3 linked regions of the Pelodiscus sinensis genome follow. Each later gene encodes a partner of the first gene's protein in a complex. Links are inferred from orthologs where the notes say so. Each region holds a gene or a part of one and is shown in the gene's direction. Other genes may lie near its edges.

Region 1 (7,732 bases):
ACAAACAGGCCAAAATGGGAGTGGCCCTGAACCCTCAGAAAAGGCCATCTCCCTTGGCCTAGCTGGGAAGAGGGGATACACAGGGGTTTCTCTAAACAGCATCCTTCTCCCCAAATCTCCCAGCCCCTGCTGGTCTGGAGTAGGGATGGAAAATCCCCACTAATCAGTTAACCGGTTAAACGTTCGGTTAACCCAATGTTTAACTGGTTAACCTAACTACGCGGGATCTTGGTCCTGGTCCCAGAGTGGTTGCCGCTGGCAACAGGGGTGCTGCTGCTGCTGATGGCAGACTGTAGGTGGGGGGCTGTGGCCGAGTACCAATTGCCCATTTCCATCCCTAGTCTGAAGAGGTCATTTCAAATCGGGCCTGGCATCCCCCTGTCAGGAGCGGGAGACGGGCGGGAGTCACATCTGGATCAGGGAACCGCCCCAAAGTTGGGATCCTCTGCAGGGAGGAAACCTACTTCACTCCTGACTGGAACCGGGAACCGGCTTGTATTGACTCAGAGCTGGGTTTGAGTTTGGGATGAAGAGGCAGGGGCAGTTTGAATGTCGCTGGGACGCTCTGGGGGTAGAAGTAATTTTATTTACTATGGAAAAAACTGCAGATTCAAAGGTGAACAGGTAAGAGAAAGCAAACGCGGACCCGTCACACGGAATTGAAATGGAAAGACGCAACCTCTGGCTTTACGCTTGTTTATTAGACAAATCCCCTTTTCTATTCCCTCCGAACAGTTTCCCAGCACACCTGTCCTAGGGAGAATCCAGGGTTTCACGGACAGGCTGCCCTCAGTTTCTGGGAAAAAACCTTCATGCAAAGGCTGCGTCTACCTTGGCACTTCACAGTGCTGCATCTTTCTGGCTCAGGAGTGTGAAAAAACAACCCCCCGCCAAGTGCAGAAGTTACAGCGCTGTAAAGTGCCAATGGGAACCAGGCTACAGTGCTGTTTGCTACTCTCCTCATGGATGTGGTTTACATAGAGCGCTGGCCTGGGAGAGCTCTGTATCAGAGGCAGCAGCGCAAGGTGCCAGGAGGGAGCCGGTCCGTGAGGGGAGCCAGTTTAAAAACCAACTCCCCAAGCAGACCAGCTGCCTGCCTGCCACCCCATGCTGCTGCCTCTGATACAGAGGCAGCAGTGCAGGGTGGCAGTAGCCCCGTCCGTGGGGGGGTCTGAGCTGTCCGAGGATAGAGGCTGTTCCGTGCGATGCCTCCCCTGCTCCTGTGCAGCCTCTCCTGCCCCCCCATGCTGGGGGGCTGGCGGCATGGCAGAACCGGTGCTGGGAGGAATCTACCTTTTAAGGTGGCTCCCTGCAGCACCGGCTCCTGCCCCATCCCACTTGCTGCCTCTGATACAGAGGCAGCAAGGCTGGGCGGGATGCAAGTAGTTGAGAAGATTAACCGATAAGCCTAGTCTTACCGGTTAATCGTATACTCGACTACTTGTTTACATCCATAGCTTAAAGCTGCTGCGCTTGAAACTTTTAGGTGTAGAGAAAGCCTCTGATGCAACATAAGCCTGCTAGTAAAAGGCTTCCCCCCTTCCCCTTCTTTCTGGCCTGGTGACTCATTGGTGTGTGTGTGGGAATTCCCAGCTGTCTCCTTGTCTTTCCATTAACTCTAGTGGTCCCAGCATTGTCTTTTCCCAGCTGAAGGATGGACGAGTCGCTGAAGTTGGTTCCGTGGAAACAGCTGGCCTGGTGCACCTCCCTGCCTTATATGCCAGGTGATGTTGTAGTTTACAATTACAACTTTCACATGCGTGTATGCCCTGCGTGCAGATCTCCTAATGCCCAGCAAGTTCAGAACATCACCAACTTTCCTTAGAGGCCTTACTTGACATACTCTTCTGCACTCACATTGTGTACAATTGGTTGATTCAATTGCTTAGTCTTTTGGGGTTCAAAAGACCCCCTCTTTGCTTCTTTGGGGTCCGGACTTGTATAGTCCCAGTCATCTGAGCTGTATCCCCACCCTCTGAAATGGGGGCGGAGAGGGGGGGATGCTAGAGCCTAACAGGGGGGCTGGAGTCTACACCTGGTTCTGCCACCGATTAGCTGCGTGACCTTGGGCAAGTCATTCTCTCCATGCCTGGTTTCTCCGGTGGAGGTGAAATGGGATTCAGTGCTGGTTTCTGCAGTCACGCCTCAGCCCGCCCGTGATGGATGGGTTCTAATAATGGAAAAGCTCTCCTGCTTCGCCTGCCCTGGTGCTTGGATAGTTTGTCTCCCAGCTGCGCAGGCCGGGGCTGGAGCCAGCTCTCCGGAGTGAATCCACCGCACCCCGCTGCACCCCCTTGGGACTGGCCCCCAGTCTCTGCGAGGTGAAGGGGTGGTCATGGGGCTGCTGTCATGCTCCAGTGGGGTGAGGGCACTTCCCTACGCTCAGGATCCCTGCCAAAGCGAGCTGTGGCCTAGCGGGTGGCGAGACAAGGGAGGGAGGTGGGGAAACACAGAGCCAAGCCCCCCCAATTCTTTCCTACTTAGCCACAGACCCCCACCAGCCACGTGAATTCTCTCCCCCTGTCGCCTGTCATGGGGCTTCCTCTGTACTGGGGTGTAGAGCGTACAGCAGGGCTGGGGAACTTTTTTTAGGTCGGGGGCTGCACACAAGTGGGAAGCAAAACCAAACCAAAACAAGAAACCCCTCACTGACATAGCCCCCAGTGGAGGAGACAGACCCACCCCCCATTCCCCTCACACACCAGAGCCTAGGGCGGCCCGGCCTAGTAGATTTTGTGGTTCCAGCCCCATGGTGGGGCAGCAGTGGGGCTGGAGTGCCAGCGCAGGCTACCCAGTACTGGGAGAGGCCCCTGAGCCTCGGCCCCCGGGTCTGAGGTTCCCCACCCCTGGAGTACAGCATATGGGCTGGCCACAGCCCACTCACTTATCAACCCCTCCCCCCCATCCCAGCTCTGGTCCTGCCCCATCGCTGGCCCTGCTCAGCCCGTCCAGCATCCTGCCAGGGTTGGGGTGCGGTGGCTTGCCCCTCTCCTGGGGGTGGGGTGCAGGGCTTGTCCTGCTCCACCCGCCCAGTGGTCTCCTTGGGGAGCAGAATTGGGTCATGAGGGCTTGCAAGGCCCCGACCCCCACGCCTCAGCTGGAGCCCCGAAGTGGGCGGAGAAGGACCAGCGTCCCTGCCCTGTCCCCCATGCCCTGGCAGGAGTACCGGGCAGATGGAGGGGGTAAGTCCCTGACTCCATTCCTCAGCTGGGTTGCTGGGTGGGAGGGGCAGCACGGGGGGGGGGGAGGGGAGTGCACTTTTCTTCAGCCCCCTCATTTACTCCAGGGTCTTGGCCACAGCATCAGTTGCTTCCCAGGTGGCTGGTGGGGGAAGAAGTGGCCCCAATGACTCCTTTCCCCTCCCTCCTTCTCACCCTAAATTGGAGCTCATCCAAGTGCCCTAGTCTACCTGACGTGGGGGGCATGTGGGGGGCTTTGAGGATCATCAGGGCCTGTTGGGAGCCCCCAGGGGGTGTTGGGGCAGGTGGGTTCTGCTAGGAAGTCTCTGGTAGGGGACAGGTTCCTGGCAAAGGGTGGTGGGGGCGAATGAAAGGAGGTGGCAGGGCACAGGGGGAGAGAGGTGGGTGGGTTACCAGCTACCGACCTGCAGCAGAGCTCTGGGACCCAGGCCAGCTGTCACTGCACAATAAGGCCAGCTAAGCAATACAGCCGCTCACCGGCCAGCATGCTCTCATGGCAGGGGCTCTGGGAGGCTGAGATCTGTTCCCAACCAAGCTCCCCCCTCTCCCATCCCAGCAGTATTGCCCCCCCACACGGCCGCATTGAGCCTGTGCCTGGCAGGAAGGGAGGGGAACCGGTCCAGCTGGGGGTCCCCATCCTGGGACTCAGAAATCTCTCTCAAGGTTACCACCTGCTGGGCGGAGGTCGGGACTGAGGGGTGCTGGCAGACGGGGGGAGGGAAAGAAGGGGGGACAGTGTGTGTGGAGGGAGCCCAGGGATGGGATGGGGGGAGCTGTGCGTGGAATCCAACTTACCAGGCGGGTAGCAGGTTACCGGGCGGGTAGCAGGTTAGCGCTGAGAGCCAACCCAGCGCCACGCCAACCCGGGACCCCCCAATAAAACAGGTCTGGGGGCTGAGTATCCCCGCAACCCCCCACAGCCAGTTGCAGGGAGGCGGGATCCAGCTTTTGGTGGGCTGGAGCAGTGGCCTGGGGGGCGGGCTTGAAAAGAGTGGCAGTAAAATACCCAGGGCCAGCTCTCTGCAGGATCTGAGGGGGGGCAGCAGTGCCCCCCATGGTCCCTGGGCAGGGGGGAGCGGACCCATCACTGGAGCCCTGCGCCCAGCCATGGCCGTGGGTTTGGGGGGGGGCTCTGTGGGGAGTAGGGAGGCATGAGCCCCCCCCTTCGGGAATCCCCATGACGGGGGACATCTCCTGACATCTGCCCCCCCCACTTAGCGCTGCTGGCAGCCAGGCCCCTCGGTAGGGGGGGAGGATCGGGGGGGGGGGGAGTTCCAAAGCCGGAGGGGGGGGTCTTTGCCTGCTTGCAGACCCCCCCACATCGCTCTGTGGGGGGGGGGGGGCGCTCGGACCACACCCCGCCCCCTCCGGGCCGGCGAGCCCCGGGGCTCGCCCCCGCCTCTCGCCACCCCCCTCCCTCCCTCCCCCGCCTGCCTGCGCATTGTGTGGCCGCCGGGAGGGGCCGGGCGGCTGCCGCCCCCACACGCCCCCGCCCCCGCCCCGGGCTCCTCCTCTGCCGGGGCTGGCTTGGGACACGAGTCCGGGGCGAGCCAGGCCGAGCCGCCGCGAGCTCCATGGTGCGGGAGGGCGGCATGGCCCGGACACCCCGCAGCTCCACCCAGGAGATCCAGATGGACGTGTTCGAGCACCCCGGCCTGCAGGTGGGTCCCCCCCCCCCCGGAGGGGGGCTGCAGCCAGAAATACCGGGGGGATGGACCGGACCGGATCGGAACCGGCCCATGACCCGCTGCCCTTTGCTTTTCCGAGGGGGTTGCTGGAAAGTGCAGGGGGGCTGAGACGGGCTCGAACCGATGCGGGGGGATCGGAGGCAGGTTCGCAGCCTGGCAGCTTTCTGCCCCCGCCCTTCTCGCTGCTCTCGCCGGGTTCCAGCTCAGCTGAAACCCCCCCCCCCCTTGGCACCCACCAGGCAAAGCGGGGGCCCCACGTGCCCCCCATCCTGTGCCCAGAGGTCACCAGGGAGGTGAGCAAGGGGGTGGGTGGGTCCTAGGGGTGGAAGCGGGTGGTCTTGCGGGGGACCTAGCTGCCCTTGTTTGCTGTGTCACCGTGGTCTCCCCGTCTGGAAAATGTGGGTCACAATGCTGAAGGGTCTGTGAGACTGGGCCAGTCCTGGCCCGGAGGGGCCCCCGGGGTGCCACTATGCCTCCTCTGGGGCTCGCGCCGGGAAACTTTGGAGCAGACGGGGTAATTTGGTAGATCCAATCCAGAGGCACCACGCCTCTTTATTTCCCCTTCTGCTTGCTAGTGGATACTAAAGGGGTACTTCACCCCTGCTGGAAACCCGCTGTGGGGTTTGGTGTAGCACTGCCCGATGGAGGAGGAGGTGGGGATACCAGCACAGATACATTGTTGTGATGTCGCCTGCTGGGGATACCAGTATCTGGTTGGGATACCAGTGCCTGCTGGGGATACCAGTATCTGGTTGGGATACCAGTGCCTGCTGGGGGTACCAGTATCTGGTTGGGATACCAGTGCCTGCTGGGGGTACCAGTATCTGGTTGGGATACCAGTGCCTGCTGGGGGTACCAGTATCTGGTTGGGATACCAGTGCCTGCTGGGGGTACCAGTATCTGGTTGGGATACCAGTGCCTGCTGGGGGTACCAGTATCTGGTTGGGATACCAGTGCCTGCTGGGGATACCAGTATCTGGTTGGGATACCAGTGCCTGCTGGGGTACCAGTATCTGGTTGGGATACCAGTGCCTGCTGGGGATACCAGTATCTGGTTGGGATACCAGTATCTGGTTGGGATACCAGTGCCTGCTGGGGGTACCAGTATCTGGTTGGGATACCAGTGCCTGCCGGGGATACCAGTATCTGGTTGGGATACCAGTGCCTGCCGGGGGTACCAGTATCTGGTTGGGATACCAGTGCCTGCTGGGGATACCAGTATCTGGTTGGGATACCAGTGCCTGCTGGGGATACCAGTATCTGGTTGGGATACCAGTGCCTGCTGGGGGTACCAGTATCTGGTTGGGATACCAGTGCCTGCTGGGGGTACCAGTATCTGGTTGGGATACCAGTGCCTGCTGGGGGTACCAGTATCTGGTTGGGATACCAGTGCCTGCCGGGGATACCAGTATCTGGTTGGGATACCAGTGCCTGCCGGGGGTACCAGTATCTGGTTGGGATACCAGTGCCTGCTGGGGATACCAGTATCTGGTTGGGATACCAGTGCCTGCTGGGGATACCAGTATCTGGTTGGGATACCAGTGCCTGCTGGGGATACCAGTATCTGGTTGGGATACCAGTGCCTGCTGGGGTACCAGTATCTGGTTGGGATACCAGTGCCTGCTGGGGGTACCAGTATCTGGTTGGGATACCAGTGCCTGCCGGGGGTACCAGTATCTGGTTGGGATACCAGTGCCTGCCGGGGGTACCAGTATCTGGTTGGGATACCAGTGCCTGCTGGGGGTACCAGTATCTGGTTGGGATACCAGTGCCTGCTGGGGGTACCAGTATCTGGTTGGGATACCAGTGCCTGCCGGGGGTACCAGTATCTGGTTGGGATACCAGTGCCTGCTGGGGGTACCAGTATCTGGTTGGGATACCAGTATCTGGTTGGGATACCAGTGCCTGCCGGGGGTACCAGTCGCTGGTTGGATCTGTTGCTCAGGGCTACTTAGCAGGGTGGAGAAGGGGAAGGGTTACCCATGTCTGGATGGACCACAGGGCTGGGAAACACAAACCCAGCCTCCACCAGCTTAGGACATGGCTCCGGTTAACCCTTCCCCACCTGGAGGGCCACCAGTCAAGAGCTTAACTTGTGCCAGGGCTGAGCCTCGGCCTCTCTAGGCTTGGCGGTTCGTAGCTCCAAGGCCTCTGGGCTTGCAGGGTTCATTGTGAATGTAAAAAACAGGCTTGCAGCTATTTCGTTACAGACGAAACCCTGCACCAGCCCCCTGGATGGGGAATCCCAGCCACCCACCGCGGGTGCAGGGAATGTGACTGATGGATGGACCCTGATTGGAGCGATGGGGGTGGGGAGGAATCCTAAAAATACCAACTCCTGCCCTGCGCAGGGACCACGTGTCTGTGGGCTGGGCAGCAACTGGGCCCAGCTGTCCCTCTGAGATGGCTCATTCCGAGACCTGCCCCAACACGTCCCGGCTGCTTGTCCTGTGCAGAAAGGCCTCGCGCTCACTGGGAGTTTCAGGAGGAACCAGCTGGGAAGGGACTGACGTCCCAGGGCGAGGACGGGGAGGGGGAGCAGGATTGGGCCCTCTGAGACAGCTGCGGAGGGGTCCAGCCACAATTCTGCAGGGAGGGCTGGCTGCGGGTGGGGTGGAAATCTTGCCAGCCCCAGCCTCCCCCAGCAGGAGGCGCTGTAGAGGATGGGGCAAGCGCGCTGGCTGTGGGACAGCTCTCAGCTGCTGGCTCCTTCTAAGTCTGTGCCACCAGCTGGGTATTTGGAGCATTTGCCAGGCGCTGTTGGTCAGGGGATGACTCAGTGGCAGCAGGTGTGTTCGCTGGCTCCCTACGCGTGTGCATTTGCCTGGCTGCTGGGGCCTGCGT
Region 2 (7,817 bases), on another chromosome or scaffold:
AATAGTTGCCTGCCATATCTTTAATTAAAAAAAACTTTATTCCTCCTCTAGTTGGTATAATCCAAAAACTCCTAAATCAAATGTTTGTGTGACTGAGATTTGAGTATTTTTTAAAACAAGTTTATATTTGACACTTGGGAGATTTGCATCACTAAAATCAATTACACATTAAGGGTCAATCTAGACTAAATGCCTTTCTTGAAAGAGGCTTTTTCAAAAGATACTTTCGAAAAAGCCTCTTTTGAAAAAGAGCTTCTAGACTACAATCAGTACTTTCGAAAAAGCAAGCTGCTTTTTCGAAAGACAGCACCCAGGCAGTCTGGATGCTCTCTTTCGAAAAAGCACAGTTTGCATTACATAGCGCCTTTTTTTGAAAGGGCACTTTCGAAAAAAGGTGTTATTCCTCGTAAAACAAGGTTTTCCGCGATCAAAAAAACTGCCAGGTTCTTTCGATTTACTTTTGAAAGAACGCGGCAGCAGTCTAGACGCAGGGGAAGTCTTTTTGAAAAAAGGCCACTTTTTTCTAAAAAAACCCCTGTAGTCTAAACACACCTTCATAGAACACAATAATCAATCTCCTTGTTTGTTAACATGGTCTAATCCAACCCCCTATCACTTTTGGCCATGGACAATTTAAAATCTGTAACAAAAAGCAAGAACAACCCTGCAGATTTCAATTCCTGTGACAGAACATGAGCAGAGAAAAGGCCTCTCTAATTATCTGGATAAAAGACTATTTTACATTTCATAGGTTGTAATGAACAGTCTGACATGCACCAAGGAGCAGACAACCAGTGCTGATCACAGAGCATGGAGGGTTGAATGATCTGGCCCATTCAGGTGACATTCCACCACATCAGTTGAGGTTTTTAATTCTTTTTTCTGGTAGCCTCAAAGCATATATCCACTAGGGTTGCTAGATGTCCAGTATTCACCCTGACAGTCCAGTATTTTTGCCTCCTGTCTGGTAAAAAAAAATTCAGAAAATACCGGACACCTAAAATGTCCGGTATTTTCTGATTTTTTTCCCTGGCCAGGAGGCGAAAATGCTGGGCATCTGACAACCCTACAAACACTCAGCACCTGGCCTCCCCTTCCCTCCCGCCCCCCCCCGTCCCCAAGTCCCCCCTGGTTCCCAACACCCCGAGCCCCCCGACCCCAGCCCCCATGCTTATCTGGTTCCGCAAGGCTGCCGGCACAAAATGGCTGCTGACCAAGGGGAAGCATTTGGGTCTTAGTGCTCAACCATTTCCCTGTTCCTATCCCTGCACTCTTAAAAGGGGGTATGCTGTTTTCATGCTGTTTTATTTTATTTTTTTTGGCTTAAGTCTTGGAGTCATCTCCCCCCCCCCTTTTTCCCCTTTCAACAGATTTTTTTCCCCCGGTGTTTTTTTTTGGGGGGGGGGGGGGGGGAAGGAAGAGGGTCGGTATTTTTGTTTCAACCATCTGGAAACCCTAATATCCACACTGCAGAGTTAGTCCACAGGCTCGCTCTCTCCGAGGTGTTGACCCTAACTCCCTTCCTGTCCACCCACAGGAACCGCACATACAAATTAAGTGATGCTCTCAACCCAGGTTATCTGGTCCATCTGGAAGTATAAAGCAAGGGCTCCACTGTCACTCAGGCTGGCAGTCTCTCCACTTCACAGTGAGCACACAAAGTCACTTGAGGGCTATTGTCCTCAATACCTTCTCAAAAGCACACACATTTTTTCCACAGCTAAATAAAGATTTTTACCAAATCAAATTAAGGATTCAAAACCAGTCAATGGCTTATTGTAGAAACTAAATTTAATATATTTAGATCACAACATCAAAGCCAATTATAAAGTTTTCCTTTGAAGTACCTCCCCCAAAGGTCTTTTGACAAATCTGGTACAAGGCAGATCTTGGTGCTACGCAAGTTGGGCCAATTAAGATCAAATTAGGTCCTTTTTTAGTTGGAGCATCAACCTGGAAAAGCTCTACTTAAACCAGAAATTTTAAAATATTTGCTGGTGAACATACCAGACACTCAAAACCAAACAACTTTACAGTCTACTTGTAGCCATGCTGGTCCTTGAAGAAGAGCTCTGTACAGCTCAAAAGTTTCTCTCACCAACAAAAGCTGGTCCAATCTAAGATATAACCTCAACCAATTCAGGAATTTACAGTAAATTCTGTTTTGAAACTGGCCTTTGTTTTTGGTTTTTTTTTGCTCCCTCCCCCCCCCAATTCCCGGGTATTGACACAAACAAAAATTTGGATTTTACCCATTTTAACCTCAATTTTGCAAGTGCTGGAATGCCCTGCGTTTCCAGCACCCTGCCAAAAGGAACAGAGCACTAGCACACAAATCAACTGCCACTTGGCAGCCAAGTGGGGCTCCCTGCTTATCTCACCTCCTTATCACCAAACTCCCTGTGCATTAGGGGAATGAGACAAATATGGACACAGGCAGGCAGTAGTTGGTCTGCCTTCTCTGCCAGACAGAGCCTGCACCTGACTCTGGCACTTCAAAGTGACTCTAACTCTGTGGTGTCCAACATGTTGCTACTTGGCTGGTTGAGTGTAGTTAGCGTACTATAGCAGTAGCCGCTATAGTGGCTACTGCTTCAGAAATGGTTGGACACCACGGCTCTAACTGCTTTCTTTGCACAGTCGGAAGTGACACAGGCAGGGAGTGCCCCCTCCCTACCAGCTGAGACTGCCCCACCCACTTCTGCAGCAACAGGCCTGCAGGGAATGGAATGCCTCTGCATTCCCATGAGTACTGGGCTACCTTCACACTCTCCCCAGCCCCTTCGTATTTGTTTATCAATCATCCTTTAACATTTGTTTTTATATTGATAAATTCCTGTGAAATTTTAAATGAAATGAACTCTCAGGACTGTAGATACACTAGAAACAACTTTTTCTGACATCTTCATCTTGATAAAGAAAAAAAGTTACTTGAAAATCTATCAAAACTAAACTCCCATAAAATGTAACATTTTATAGAAAGTCTGTATTCCATTCTCAACCATTTTGTTGTCAATCATAAATAAAATACTCTCTCTTTACTAAGCCCACATTTAAAGAGGAAGATTGTGCCCTCCCCCCACTCAATGTTTTATAGAGGACACAAAGACCACCTGAAAATTGTCTGTTTTGTCTCCTTCTGCTTTTTACACTACAAATTGAGGTCAGATCTGCCCTGTTTTCCTGGAAAACTGTAGATAACTCAAGAGTTACTAGGTTTGTGATATCACAACTATCAAGGAAATAAAGCCCAAATAACTGAGTAAGAAAGTGATTTTCATTAAGTCTAAAACTCTGGTTTTGCTAACACTACTGTAACTCAAACACTTAACACATAGCTGGGAAAAAAAGCTTTCTGTTAAAGATTGAAAAGGCCTCTTCAGTTGAACAGCTGATAAAACTCCCAATCAACTTTCAACAAATAGGGACAGTAAGACAATATTTTCATTATTTCAACGTCAAAGAAAAAAAAAACAAGCAAGAAAAATACTTTATCGAAGGAAAATAAAATCAATTTCAGAGAGTTATCTTTACATGACACAAAAGACATGAAGGAAAAATTCTGCCTCTTGCCCCCCCCGCCCCCCCCCCCCCCATACCAAAAGCTTGACGGGTTACCTTTAAAATCAAACTAGCAGGGAATTGTTCAAACATCTTTCTCAATCATCTTTCCCCAAATGCAGATGGTTAAGAGAGTGGGCAGTAAATTGGCAATGTTGTTAAAGTCAAGAGACAGTTTCTTGTGTAGGGATCTCACCACCATCTGTTTAAATGTGGCTGGAATCCTTTCTTAAAAAGCAAAGCATTTAATAATTCTTGTTAATAAAATGGGCCCCAAACATCCCTCTGATCTTTTTTTTTTTTTTTTTTTTTTTTAAAACCAGCCAGGAAGTGAAGAAGCCCAGATTACAGATTGTCAGATGTAGATGCAACAACACATCTTAAACCCCGCTCTACAAAACAGAACACTACTCGAAACAGAGAAGGTAGTTTGTTTGTAAGACCTTGCCCATCACTCTACCTTAACCATGCTAGTCACATCACACTATTCATTCAGTCTTTCTAGCAAAACAAAATAGAAAAAAGTTCTATACCATACCATGCCTTTCGTACTCCTGTGCTGCTGCTGGCAGTGGCTCCACCTTTAGAGCTGAGCTCCTGACCAGCAGCTACCACTCTCCAGCAGCCCAGCTCTGAAGGTTGTGCTGCCACCACCAGGAGCAGAGAAGTAAGGGTAGTAGTAACACAACCACACAAACATCATAACCTTGTGACCTCCTTCCCAACAACTCCTTTTTGGGTCAGGACCTCTACAAATTCAACACTGAGATTTCAGATTTAAATAGATTAAATAGAATTTACATTTTTTTAAATTCTCTGACCATGAAATTGACAAATATGGACTATAAATTTGTATTTGTATGTAAAAACAATATAAAACTAAACTCACATTCCAGGAGAAGTTGTCTGGCTATGACAAGCCTACAGTCTACAAAATCCTAGACAAAAGCTATCTTTCTTCAAATACAAGAGTATATCAGACAAGTTAGTGATGATTTACAAAAAACAGAGATCACCATGACTCAGTAAGGTGATGAGCTGACAGGCAGATGGAGCCCATTATCTTCACTTCTCAATCCAAGTTTTCCTGTAAAAGCACTAGGGGAGGAGAGGGCTTTAACCAAGCAATAGAAACACAGGACAAAAAAGGATTAGGAGTGAAGCACTAGGGAAGAAAAGATAATGCAAGAAATGCTGCTCACATTTCAAATAGCTAGAAAAGTTTCTGTAGTTTTGGTCACATGAGCTTTTCCAAGACTAGGGTTTAACATCTGGACAAGTTTTGTGGCTATTAGGTTTAAATGATATTAAAGTAGAAACTACGGACAATCAGGAACCTACTTTTGCTATATACAGAGTATTTAATTCAGCTGTACAAAGCTACCTTTGGAAGTATAAAATGTTTCAAGCCTTTGTTCGGCAATCTACTTCAGCATATCGCCCACTACCGAACCATCTGCCAGGTGAACCTGAAGTGAAGTATAAGGGCAAGTTGGTGCATGAAACTCAGCTTAGCTGCTTCTACATCCAACCTGGAGGTAAGACCCACATTAGTGATATAAATAATGATGTCCTGAAATCTTCTGTGTTGTATTCCATTCCCATTGAAACAGAACAGTTATTTTCATATCTGAAAACTTTTATGAACAATGCATTTTAATAATCATTGGTAATATATTTGGAAATTGTGGCGTATAAATGCACTCCCACAGGAGACAGAGTGCTCTGGAAATTCTCAGATCTCTAGAGTGAATAGAAAGGCACTTCATCAGATAACATGCTGACTTTTAAGCGCCTAATTAATTCCAGTCCCTTGCTTCCATCTAGAAAAGGATGAGACAGGGCTTAAGAAAAAAATATTTGATTCCAGAATTTAAAATGCAGTCACGGACAAACTGTGGGCATGGGTTTGAGTAGGCATAGATGGGAATAACGGGATTTCACTTTAAAGTAGAGAATATATAAACAATATTTGAAGACAAAGTAGTAAATGTGTTTTTTAAAGGCAAGCCTGATTTCTAAAGGGAAATTAATTGAGACTTGTTTTCCAATCTTCAGTTTTCAAAAGTACTACATACATATTCACTCTCCTGGGAAAAACACAGACAGCTGTCCATTTTATCCTATATGAAGTAATAGGGGGAAAAAGTGTCACATGAAAAGTTACCGTCTTTAAAAAAAATTCCATTCCATGTTTAACTACTCTGCTTTTCTCATCATATGGCTATCTTATCTTGAAAAGATGTCCGGAATTCCCAGTGTTGGCAGTACACTCAACAGTAAATGTTCAGAGCAGTTAGCATATTGCTTATGTACTGACATCCATAAATGGGAAAGTAAGCCGGTGTTCAGCAGAAACATGCTGAATTATTCCTCTTTCCACCTCATTAAGAATCTCTCTCACATCTTCAGAGTGCTCTAAATCTACCTTAATTCTCCTTCATACACTTTCTGCATCAATGTAACAGGCCAAACGGATTCAATCACTACCAGCCACTGAAAGTTTTTTTTATCTTAACTGTTTCTTTTCATGGGACATAAAATTTCACTGACTTTCAAATACCAGTCCATGATTCCACATGTGAATTTGTAACTATTAGCAGAGAGGCATCTTTTTTTTTGGCTGCTTACTACTCATCAGGCAATAGCAATATTTGAAAACGGTGGCTTTACCCACTACAGGTAAGATTGCAGAACTATCACCATAACAAAACCATTTTTAGGACTTTCCTAAAATGTTCACCTTTTCAATTGAATATTTCCATACTCCGATCACACTGTGCAGAAAAGCCTTAAGTTTAGCAAAATCCCTGTAATTGTGTTGAATCATAGGGAAAAATTAAGGCTATAATGAGGCAGACAATCGACTAATTGGGGTTGTGTGTGGTGGTGGGAGGAGGGACGCGGTGATAGGGATCCAGAATTGACCTCCCCTGGTGCAGCAAACTCACTCATTTGGGACCAGTGAGGACCGAGGGTGCCAGACCAGTGTGGTCCAACTTCTGCTGGTGAAAGGGAAAAGTTTTTGAGCTTCAGAGAGCTCTCTCTCAGATCCGAAACATATGATATTTGGCCAGTGCAGAAAACTGATTAGATGAACTACTAATCTAATCTGGTATAGTGACTTCTATATTTCTGCTGAGCCGCATCATAGCAACAGGCACAAGACTCTTAAGTGAAAGGTCTCTGCACAAATCATTTGGTTCCAAGCTCTAGTGTGTCTTCACAATGCACTACTGATAAAGGAGGAATGAGAAAATAATTCTAGATTTCATGTCAGACCTTGACCAATCTCACTAACCAAGCTATATGATGTAAACCTGGATAGTGTTTTAAATTATCAAATAATTTAACCAACGCCATAGAGGAAAAGGGTTATTTTGCTGTTAGAAAAACAAAGGAAGTTTTTGAAAAATTGCAGCAAGTATGCATTATTTCAACCACAGTGAAAATACCGATTGTGTCTTCCCATCTCAGGTATAATGAGATACCAAAAAGAGAGACATTTCTACTAGCAATATCCATAATTACTGAATTAGTTTAAACTTCTACCTCCATTCCTGACTTCTAAATTAACAGCCCTAAATCCAACCTCGCTTAAATAGACACGGACAAACTTTTCAGGGACACAGTGGATTAGTGCAAATGGTCACTGGTTTGGCACCCAAAGCCTGTCTGGATTGCTTTAGTATTGGGTTATAGTGCCTAAAAGCCTTGATGCAAACACCTATTTCAACTTCATATTACAAAGATCAAACAAAAAGACACAAAATAGTATGAAAATTGCCAAACTACAAGAAGAAAAACATGTTAATCATACTGTAAATCTTCATAAACTTTAGCATCATTGAATATAATTTTGAAAAATATTGTTATTGTATATTGGCTGCAAGTACCATCCTTTTAAAGGATAAATACAATGCAACAAGAAGGTCAGCAGACTTATCTAGCACAGCAATACCATCTTTTGCTGCGGAGTACATTCATTTCAGATTATCTGATACTAACTATAGATATTCATCTGCATTGAAATCAAAATGGTTTCAGTTAGCATTCAACAAAATGCTGCAATTTGACAGAAATTATTCAATCCCTCAATCCTACTGTTTGCTTTTAGATATCTCTGAAATTTATACTTAGAATAATCTTTTTCAAATATCAATTTATAGTTTTCTTAAAAAGGAAAGCAACTGTATTGCTGAACTGTTAAACACAGATGAAAATGTATGGTTTAAATAACATAACAGAAAGATAAG
Region 3 (7,356 bases), on another chromosome or scaffold:
CCCCCATAGCCGCATGCCCGGGGCCGGCGCTCCCCCCGCCATGCGCCGCGCGCCCGGGGCCGGCGCTCCCCCCGCCATGCGCCGCGTGCCCGGGGCCGGCGTTCCCCCCACCATGCGCCCGGGGCCAGGCCAGCCCCGAGCACCTGGCAGGCGCATGGAAATGCCCCTGCGGGCGCCATGGCACCCGCAGGCACCGTGTTGGGGACCACGGTTCTAGACCATTCTAGTAGGGTAGGGTTCCAAACCCTGCTCCTCTCCACACACACAGATTTGCCACAGAATGGAGATCAAGGGCTCCCAGAGAGGCCAGGGTTGTCTGCACAGAGACCCTGGACCCTGGACCCTCATCTTGTTTCCAGGATCTTCTAGTCCAGTGTTTCTCAAACTGTGCTCCGCGGAGCCCCAGGGCATCTCCAGGGGCTCCGCAAGGTTGACAAACTGGACAAACTAGAAACATTGATAAGTACAACACGTACAAGCAGTGGACCGCTGGGGCTCCGCATAAATTTTTACGCATGTAAAGGGCTCCAGAGCTCCAAAAGTTTGAGAACTGCTGTTCTAGTCTCCCTCAGCTCCATAGTAGCCCCATATCTTTGGACATCCCTGCTGGCATCTCCCCCACTTCTGTAGTCCACTGTCATATGATACACAGTAAGTACAAACCAGAGTTGCTACTACAGGCTCCACCTGGATTAAATTAGGTAGAGATTCTCCCTCAGCGTTCTTTGTTGAAAATAGTTTTATGCTACAAAAACATTTGTGGAAAAAATGAAAATATGTGTCCATTTTTTGTGGCAATAACGTGGTGGAGGTGTTGTTCTACAGGTGTTCTTTTTGACAAGGAAAAGTTTTTGTTCCAAAAATACTGGCAAACTCTACTTATCTACCTCCAACAGGATGCTGCAAAGCTTAACTAATATAGAGCATTTGTACCGTGCTTGGAATTTTGCTGTTTGACGGGTGTGACGTAGTGGGGGTACCTGGCTGGTTTCTATGCTGCTGGCTCTGGGGTAACCCCCACTGGCTGCCGTGGGTACCACGACCCAGCAAAACAGGATGAGTCACTATGCAAACCAGTGGCCAGACACCCCCCATGGAGAGGAACAAAGGAAGGTGGAAAGCTGCCCTGGCTGGGGGGCAGGGCGGGAAGAGAGTGAGTGAGTTGCTGGCTGGAAGCATGGAGGAGACAGCCTAGGGAAAGGGACTGGAGTTTAGGGGCCCAGTCTCCCCCATCTCAAGGGGGCCTGAGGCATCCTAGCCCAGCTCTGTGACCAGATTACATCTATGCTGTGCTGTATCCTGGAGAGGCAATAAACTTCCTCTATTACACCGGCTGGTGCAGTCTGTTTGTGCCATTTCGGGGTGCAGGAGACGGGGACCCCCAACGCACCGTCACAACGGGTCCCCAGGGTTCCTTCCCTGCAACATTCCCCCTGCCACCACAATCCCACCAGGCTCTCGGTGGGGCACCAACACTCAGCCAGGCCTCTGCTTTGTGATGTCCAAGCAGTGTTCTCACACCAGTTCAAGTCCTCTGAGGCTCAGCCCTCTGGCTGGGCCCTGGATAATCCACCCTGTCCACAACTGTAAAAAAAATAGAACAAAAGGGAAAGTAACACAAATGAAACATCCCAACTCTGGGTTAAGATTCAGTTTCTTCAGGCTGATTTCTCATCACGCTGTGGCCCTAAATTGAATTTACAGGTGAAAAGAGAGGTAAAGTTCCCTCTCAAGACAAGGAAATACAACAAAGGGATAGAGAATAAGACAGAGAATATCTCATTGCCTTTGTATAACTCCATGCTTCGCCCACATCTTGAATACTGCCTACAGATGTGGTCGCCTCATCTCAAAAAAGATATTTTAGCATTGGAAAAAGTTCAGAAAAGGGCAACAAAAATGATTAGAGGTTTGGAACTGCTGCCATATGAAGAGAGATTAAAAAGACGTGGACTTTTTGTCTTGTTAGAAAAGAGGAGACTAAGGCGGGATATGATGGAGGTCTATAAAATCATGACTGGTGTGGAGAAAGTGAGTAAGGAAAAGTTATTTACTTGTTCCCATAATATAAGAAATTAATAGGTCACAGGTTTAAAACGAACAAAAGGAAGTATTTTTTGATGCAATGCACAGTCAACCTGTGGAACTCCTTGCCAGAGGATGTTGTGAAGACCAGGACTTTAACAGGATTCAAAAATGAACTATATAAATTCATGGAGGATAGGCCCATCAATGCTTATTAGCCAGGATGGGCAGGAATGCTGACTGTAGTCTTTTTTGGCAGAGCCTGGGAATGGGTGACCAGGGAGGGATCACTTGATGGTTATCAGTTCTGCTTATTTCCTCTGGGGCACCTGGCATTGGCCACTGTCAGAAGGCAGGATCCTGCACTAGACAGACCTTTGTTCTGATCCAGTATGGCCCTTTGTATGTTCTTATTCTTATGTAACATCTAGCTAACTGGCTGGCCAGCTCACCCAGTTATCAGAGGAGTTTCTGTCTTCTCCTGGCCCTCTCTTCAGGAGCAGAGGGCTGAAGGTCTGCTCTCTTCCATGGACTGCCCTCACCTGAGCTGTGTTTCTCCCTTTGAAGCTCCTCCATCCAATTCTGACACCTCTCAGATGTGAGGGAGCAGGCCACCTGAAACCATATTAGCTCATTCACCTGTGCTGCCCGGGATGGGGTTGTATACCCCATCACAGAGGGGAAAGTACCATAATGGCCAGCTATAGCTTTAGGACAGTGATGTGTTTAAGACCAAATCATTCTGCTTTTCTAGGCTCGTTCTACTTCTCTTCTCTGCAAGAAGCCAACTGTGGCTCTTTACTCTATTTTCAAGACCACAACCAAGGCCGGCTAAAAACCTACCACACACGCGCACTGGTAGAAGACAAAGCGCGATGCGACAGAGCGGAGCACAAGGGCCAGGTACCGCCCCACCTCCATGAAACAAGCATTGATGGCCTGCTGACAAACCCGGCTTCAGTCACCTATTTGCCAGATATGCACAGCAGCATACCAGCAGCTACTGAGCCGGTCACACGCTAGCTCTTTTAGTTACGGTCCTTTGGGAGGCGAGCCTGGAAAAAGAGAAAAACTGTTGGGCTGTGGAAAATGCTTTTCCCCTCAGCGTTGTATTTAATTTGTATCCTTCCCCACTCCAGCCCTAAGTAGGCGCTTGCTGACGGGTGAAGAGATTCTCTTTCAGTGGTGCTGCAGACATTCCTTGGTCAGACTCGTGGCTGATTGTTAATTTTGGCTGATGAATACCTAAACCAAGTGTTCACAGATAGCATGAAAGGTTTTCAGTAGTCCTGGTCTGTAGATAGTGGGCACCGTGGTTCCATGGCCCTGGGGTATAGACAGGTGGGATTCATAGGTGGGTTAAAAGGAAGTATTTCTTCATGCAATACACAGTCAACCTGTGGAACTCCTTGCCAGAGGATGTTGTGAAGATCAGGACTTTACCAGAGTTCAAAAAAGAGCTAGATAAATTCATGGACGTTAGGTCCATCAATGGCTATTAGCCAGGATGGGTAGGAATGGCGTCCCTAGCCTCTGTTTGTCTGGAGCTGAAAATAGATGACAGAGCAGAGATTACTTGATGATTCCCTGTTCTGTTCAATCCTTCTGGGGGCACCTGGCATTGGCCACTGTTGGCTGACAGGATACTGGGCTAGATGGACCTTTGGTCTGACCCAGTATGGCCATTCGTATGTTGTCATGGGATTAAACCTAGGACTTTAGGTGCTAAAGTCATGAGCTTCTACCTCACGATCTAAAAGCCAACCGACTTGTAGCTAAAGCTGCAGTGTAGACTTCATTCTCTCTCTCACTGGTCTCAGTGCCACTGAATTATGTGTAGTAAAAACGAGGCTGAACCACAAAATTCTATTCTGAAATCAGAGACAATTCCAGTTCCACCAAAGTTTGGTGTGTTTGGGCCCCTGAAACACTCCAGCCTCGGGGTGTAGGGGAGGGTATCGTTAGAACCAATAATGGATTCTGTGGAAGAAAAGTGGGTTCACCCCCATCTTTATCACAAAGAAAAATGCTTTTACGTTCTAAAAAAGTTTGCACCGGTCTCTGTTCCCAGCCATGCCTTGAGTGAGAAGGGAATGGTCTCATGGCTGTGGATATTAATTACACGGAGCTAGCTTTGCTCTCAGTTGGCTTATGGAACTTGCTGCACAAACCCAGCAGGGACAAGCTTGTAACTGGAGCTCCCGCAGTTACTTTATTCATTAGGTGCATTAATAGAAGCCCCACTCACAAGTCTAGTCACCCTGTCTCCTGATATATTTCAACAGCTGTACATGTGGCCAGCTGTCCAAGCCAGCCCACAACCTGCTCTACTTTTGCAACACACGGATGACATTTGGAATCTATTTGGAAATGCTTAGACACGCCAAGACTTTGGAAGACCACTTGAATAACTTGCAGCTCTCCTTCAAGTAGACAAACAAAACTCGACAGGGCAGTAATCACCGAAAGAGTCTGCCCTATGCGCTCCGGTGCACCCTAGCCATGGACGAAGGCAAAGCACTGAAAATTCGGGTGACTTTCTCTGTTATTTTGGTTGGCGTCTCTTTAATGTTTGCAGCTGTGGTGACTGATCACTGGGCAGTGCTAAGCCATAAAGTGGAGCATTACAATTCCACCTGTGAGGCTGCTCACTTCGGGCTATGGCGGCTCTGCACAAAGCAGTTTTACATCCAAGAACAAGTTACCAAGGAGAGGAGCTGTGGGAAGATAACTCTGACAGGAGGTAGGTGCTTGCATTCATTCCGCATCCACCCCAAAAATGCATGGGAGAAAATGTCAGGCTATTCTTAGTGACGTCTTTTAGGAAGAGAAAAAACATGCTGGAAAAAATGTGATTCTTGCTCCCACTGCACTTGATCTTACAAGATTCAACACGTCAATTTAGTTTTCATATTAGCCTGAAAATACACCTCATTGTCACATTTCGTTGAGGCCTTATCTTAAATGCATGATGCACTTCCACAGTATAGATCTGTGAGCATATTTAGCACACTGCTCTTCAGCTGTTTCCATACAGCACAGAAAGCAGCTGGCATAAAGGGGGCCAGATAGGAGAAGGCAAAAGGCACAGAGAGAAATCAGAAAGAAGGATATTTTCCCACTGATGTTTTTGCTGATATCAACAACCTTGCAAAAGCTATGCTAGGCCTTATAAAGGCCAAACTTCCATTGAGTCCACAGGGAGTTTTGCCTGTGTGGGGATTACGGGGTGGGAATGATATCTGGTTCATTATAAAATGTTTGTAGTTCAGAGCAATATGCCAGAACCTCTTGTTTTTGAAAGTTATTTCAAAGTTATTTAATACTCTTCAGTATTACTTAGGGCAGTGTGGAACTGCATGCAATGGCATAGTTCTCCAAATGCCAAAAAATGCTGTAATTAAGTGAGAAATAATCTATCACTGGCTTATTAGGGCCTCCTTAAATTTCACAGAGTGGCAGAAAGCAAAGGTGCTCTGTGTTTGTGAAGAAAGAAGTCTATTCAGACCCTTTTCTTCATACGGAGTAGTCAGAGATCCTGAAAATAGTCCCATTAAAATCAACGGGAAGCATGGTAGCCTGGCGCCCCTCGCTAGTTTCCTGGAAAGGTATTACATTAGCATGATTTGCAAGTAGTTGTATTACATTTTTGCGGATTGCAAAGTCTGCTGCATTCATGCAACCTGTGCTAATACTCTTTTCCTGACTTTTCCAATTTCAAGAGGCTAATACCAACTTGGATTATTTCCTAGACAGAAATCCCCCTAAATAACAGGATTTCCTTTTGATTAGCACCCCGGGTTGAAGGTACAATTAGATTTTAATATATTTGTAAGATGACTATGAAATCATATAGTGATAATCCTCAACCTGACTAAACTATTTATTATCAGACAGAAGAGGCTGATCCATAGCATTCAGATCCGAGTTCCAATCTGGCATTCCCCCATGTTTGGGGGTGTTTTAATCTGGAGGTTTGCCTTAGTCCCATTTCTGGTTGATATAATAAATACATTTTAATATAGCTAATGACCTTATCAATATCATTTTCTGTGCACATGTAGGAAGCTTTATGTTTAAGGGGAGACAGATTGGGAGAAACACATAAATACCGCGCTTTATTGAATAAATTTATAACTCGTAAATATCCTGCTGGCTCAGTAAAACAGCTTCATCATCTATCCAGCAGAAAAGTGTTAGATAGTTTTGACAGACACCAGCATATGCTTGCATGGACATCTCCCAGCTGAGCTACCCATGCCCTCTGTATTGGCTTCTTAAAGTGCCGAGTAAACAAATAGGTAATTATGGAGCTGAAGGCCTCTCTGCAGAACAGCTTTGACTGAAACAGAGATGACCTTTCATTACGGGAGAGGTGGGCATACTTTTAAAGGGCTTGGCAGATACTCCTGGGATTCAATGGAATTCAGCTTCAAAATCATTATATGCAATAATACTGAATTCTTTCATGCATGTCATCTGAAGTTCTAACAGAGTCCTTTACAACACACTCTACTGTTAGGTACGTGCTATCATCCTCATTTTTACATTAGGGAAACTGAAGCACAAGAAGGGTCCAAGGTTGGCCAGAGGCCAGCCATGCAAAGCATCTATGATAGCACTTGGAAAAGAACTCAGATGTCTTGGCTTTCAGTATTCAACTCTAGCTGCTAGACTACGCAGCTCCAGAAATGGCACTCCTAGTTGTGATGATTCCATATGGCTGAGGAGAAATGCCAGCTGAAGTTGTCAGACTTGGACTACACAAGAAAGAGGAGGGAAACAAAGTTGGAGTAGCTGACCGGTGTGTCAGTAAACCTGTTTTTCTGAAAATCATACGTAGTCACCAGGATTTGAAAAAGTATCATTATTTACTACTGGGTTAATAGTTACCTACCTAGTACTACTCGGGTGGAATAACTAGTATTGCTTCTGTTGTTTATTACTTATTAATCTTAGTGCTGTACTAAATATAGGATACGATTCTGGCCATGTCTTCACTACACGGAAGATCAATGTTGCCACGATCGATCTTCCAGATTGTGATTTAGTGGGTCTAATAAAGACCTGTTAAATCAAACTCGGAAGGTGCTGGTACTGCTGCTCTTTGTGAGATGTTAGGGAAGCTGATGGGAGTGTTTCTCCATCAACCTTTCACTGTGAAGACTGCACAGAAACTCAAATTAAGGTATGTTGACTACAGCTGCATAATTAACAAAGCTGGAGTTGCATATCTTAATTCGACCTTCCCCATTAGCCTACAACTGGCCTTAGAACTTGTGGTCTTATGGTTTAAGGCAGAGAGATTTACAGTTTAACCACACGTTTAAA

The links.
Region 2: CACNB1 (region 1) and CACNA1C share a complex: the UniProt entries of both Homo sapiens proteins name them as parts of the calcium channel complex. The link is inferred for Pelodiscus sinensis from reciprocal best matches to the Homo sapiens genes CACNB1 and CACNA1C.
Region 3: CACNB1 (region 1) and CACNG1 share a complex: the UniProt entries of both Homo sapiens proteins name them as parts of the calcium channel complex. The link is inferred for Pelodiscus sinensis from reciprocal best matches to the Homo sapiens genes CACNB1 and CACNG1.

The regions. Positions count from the first base shown.
Region 1 is NC_134739.1:12,091,625-12,099,356, forward strand, and holds the start of CACNB1 (voltage-dependent L-type calcium channel subunit beta-1), read left to right. Parts: upstream 1-4,704; 5' UTR 4,705-4,774; coding exon 4,775-4,861; intron 4,862-7,732. UniProt on the Homo sapiens protein: Regulatory subunit of L-type calcium channels. Regulates the activity of L-type calcium channels that contain CACNA1A as pore-forming subunit.
Region 2 is NC_134711.1:109,146,639-109,154,455, forward strand, and holds the start of CACNA1C (voltage-dependent L-type calcium channel subunit alpha-1C), read left to right. Parts: upstream 1-4,783; 5' UTR 4,784-4,960; coding exon 4,961-5,099; intron 5,100-7,817. UniProt on the Homo sapiens protein: Pore-forming, alpha-1C subunit of the voltage-gated calcium channel that gives rise to L-type calcium currents. Mediates influx of calcium ions into the cytoplasm, and thereby triggers calcium release from the sarcoplasm.
Region 3 is NC_134730.1:21,672,462-21,679,817, reverse strand, and holds the start of CACNG1 (voltage-dependent calcium channel gamma-1 subunit), read left to right. Parts: upstream 1-4,348; 5' UTR 4,349-4,527; coding exon 4,528-4,768; intron 4,769-7,356. UniProt on the Homo sapiens protein: Regulatory subunit of the voltage-gated calcium channel that gives rise to L-type calcium currents in skeletal muscle. Regulates channel inactivation kinetics.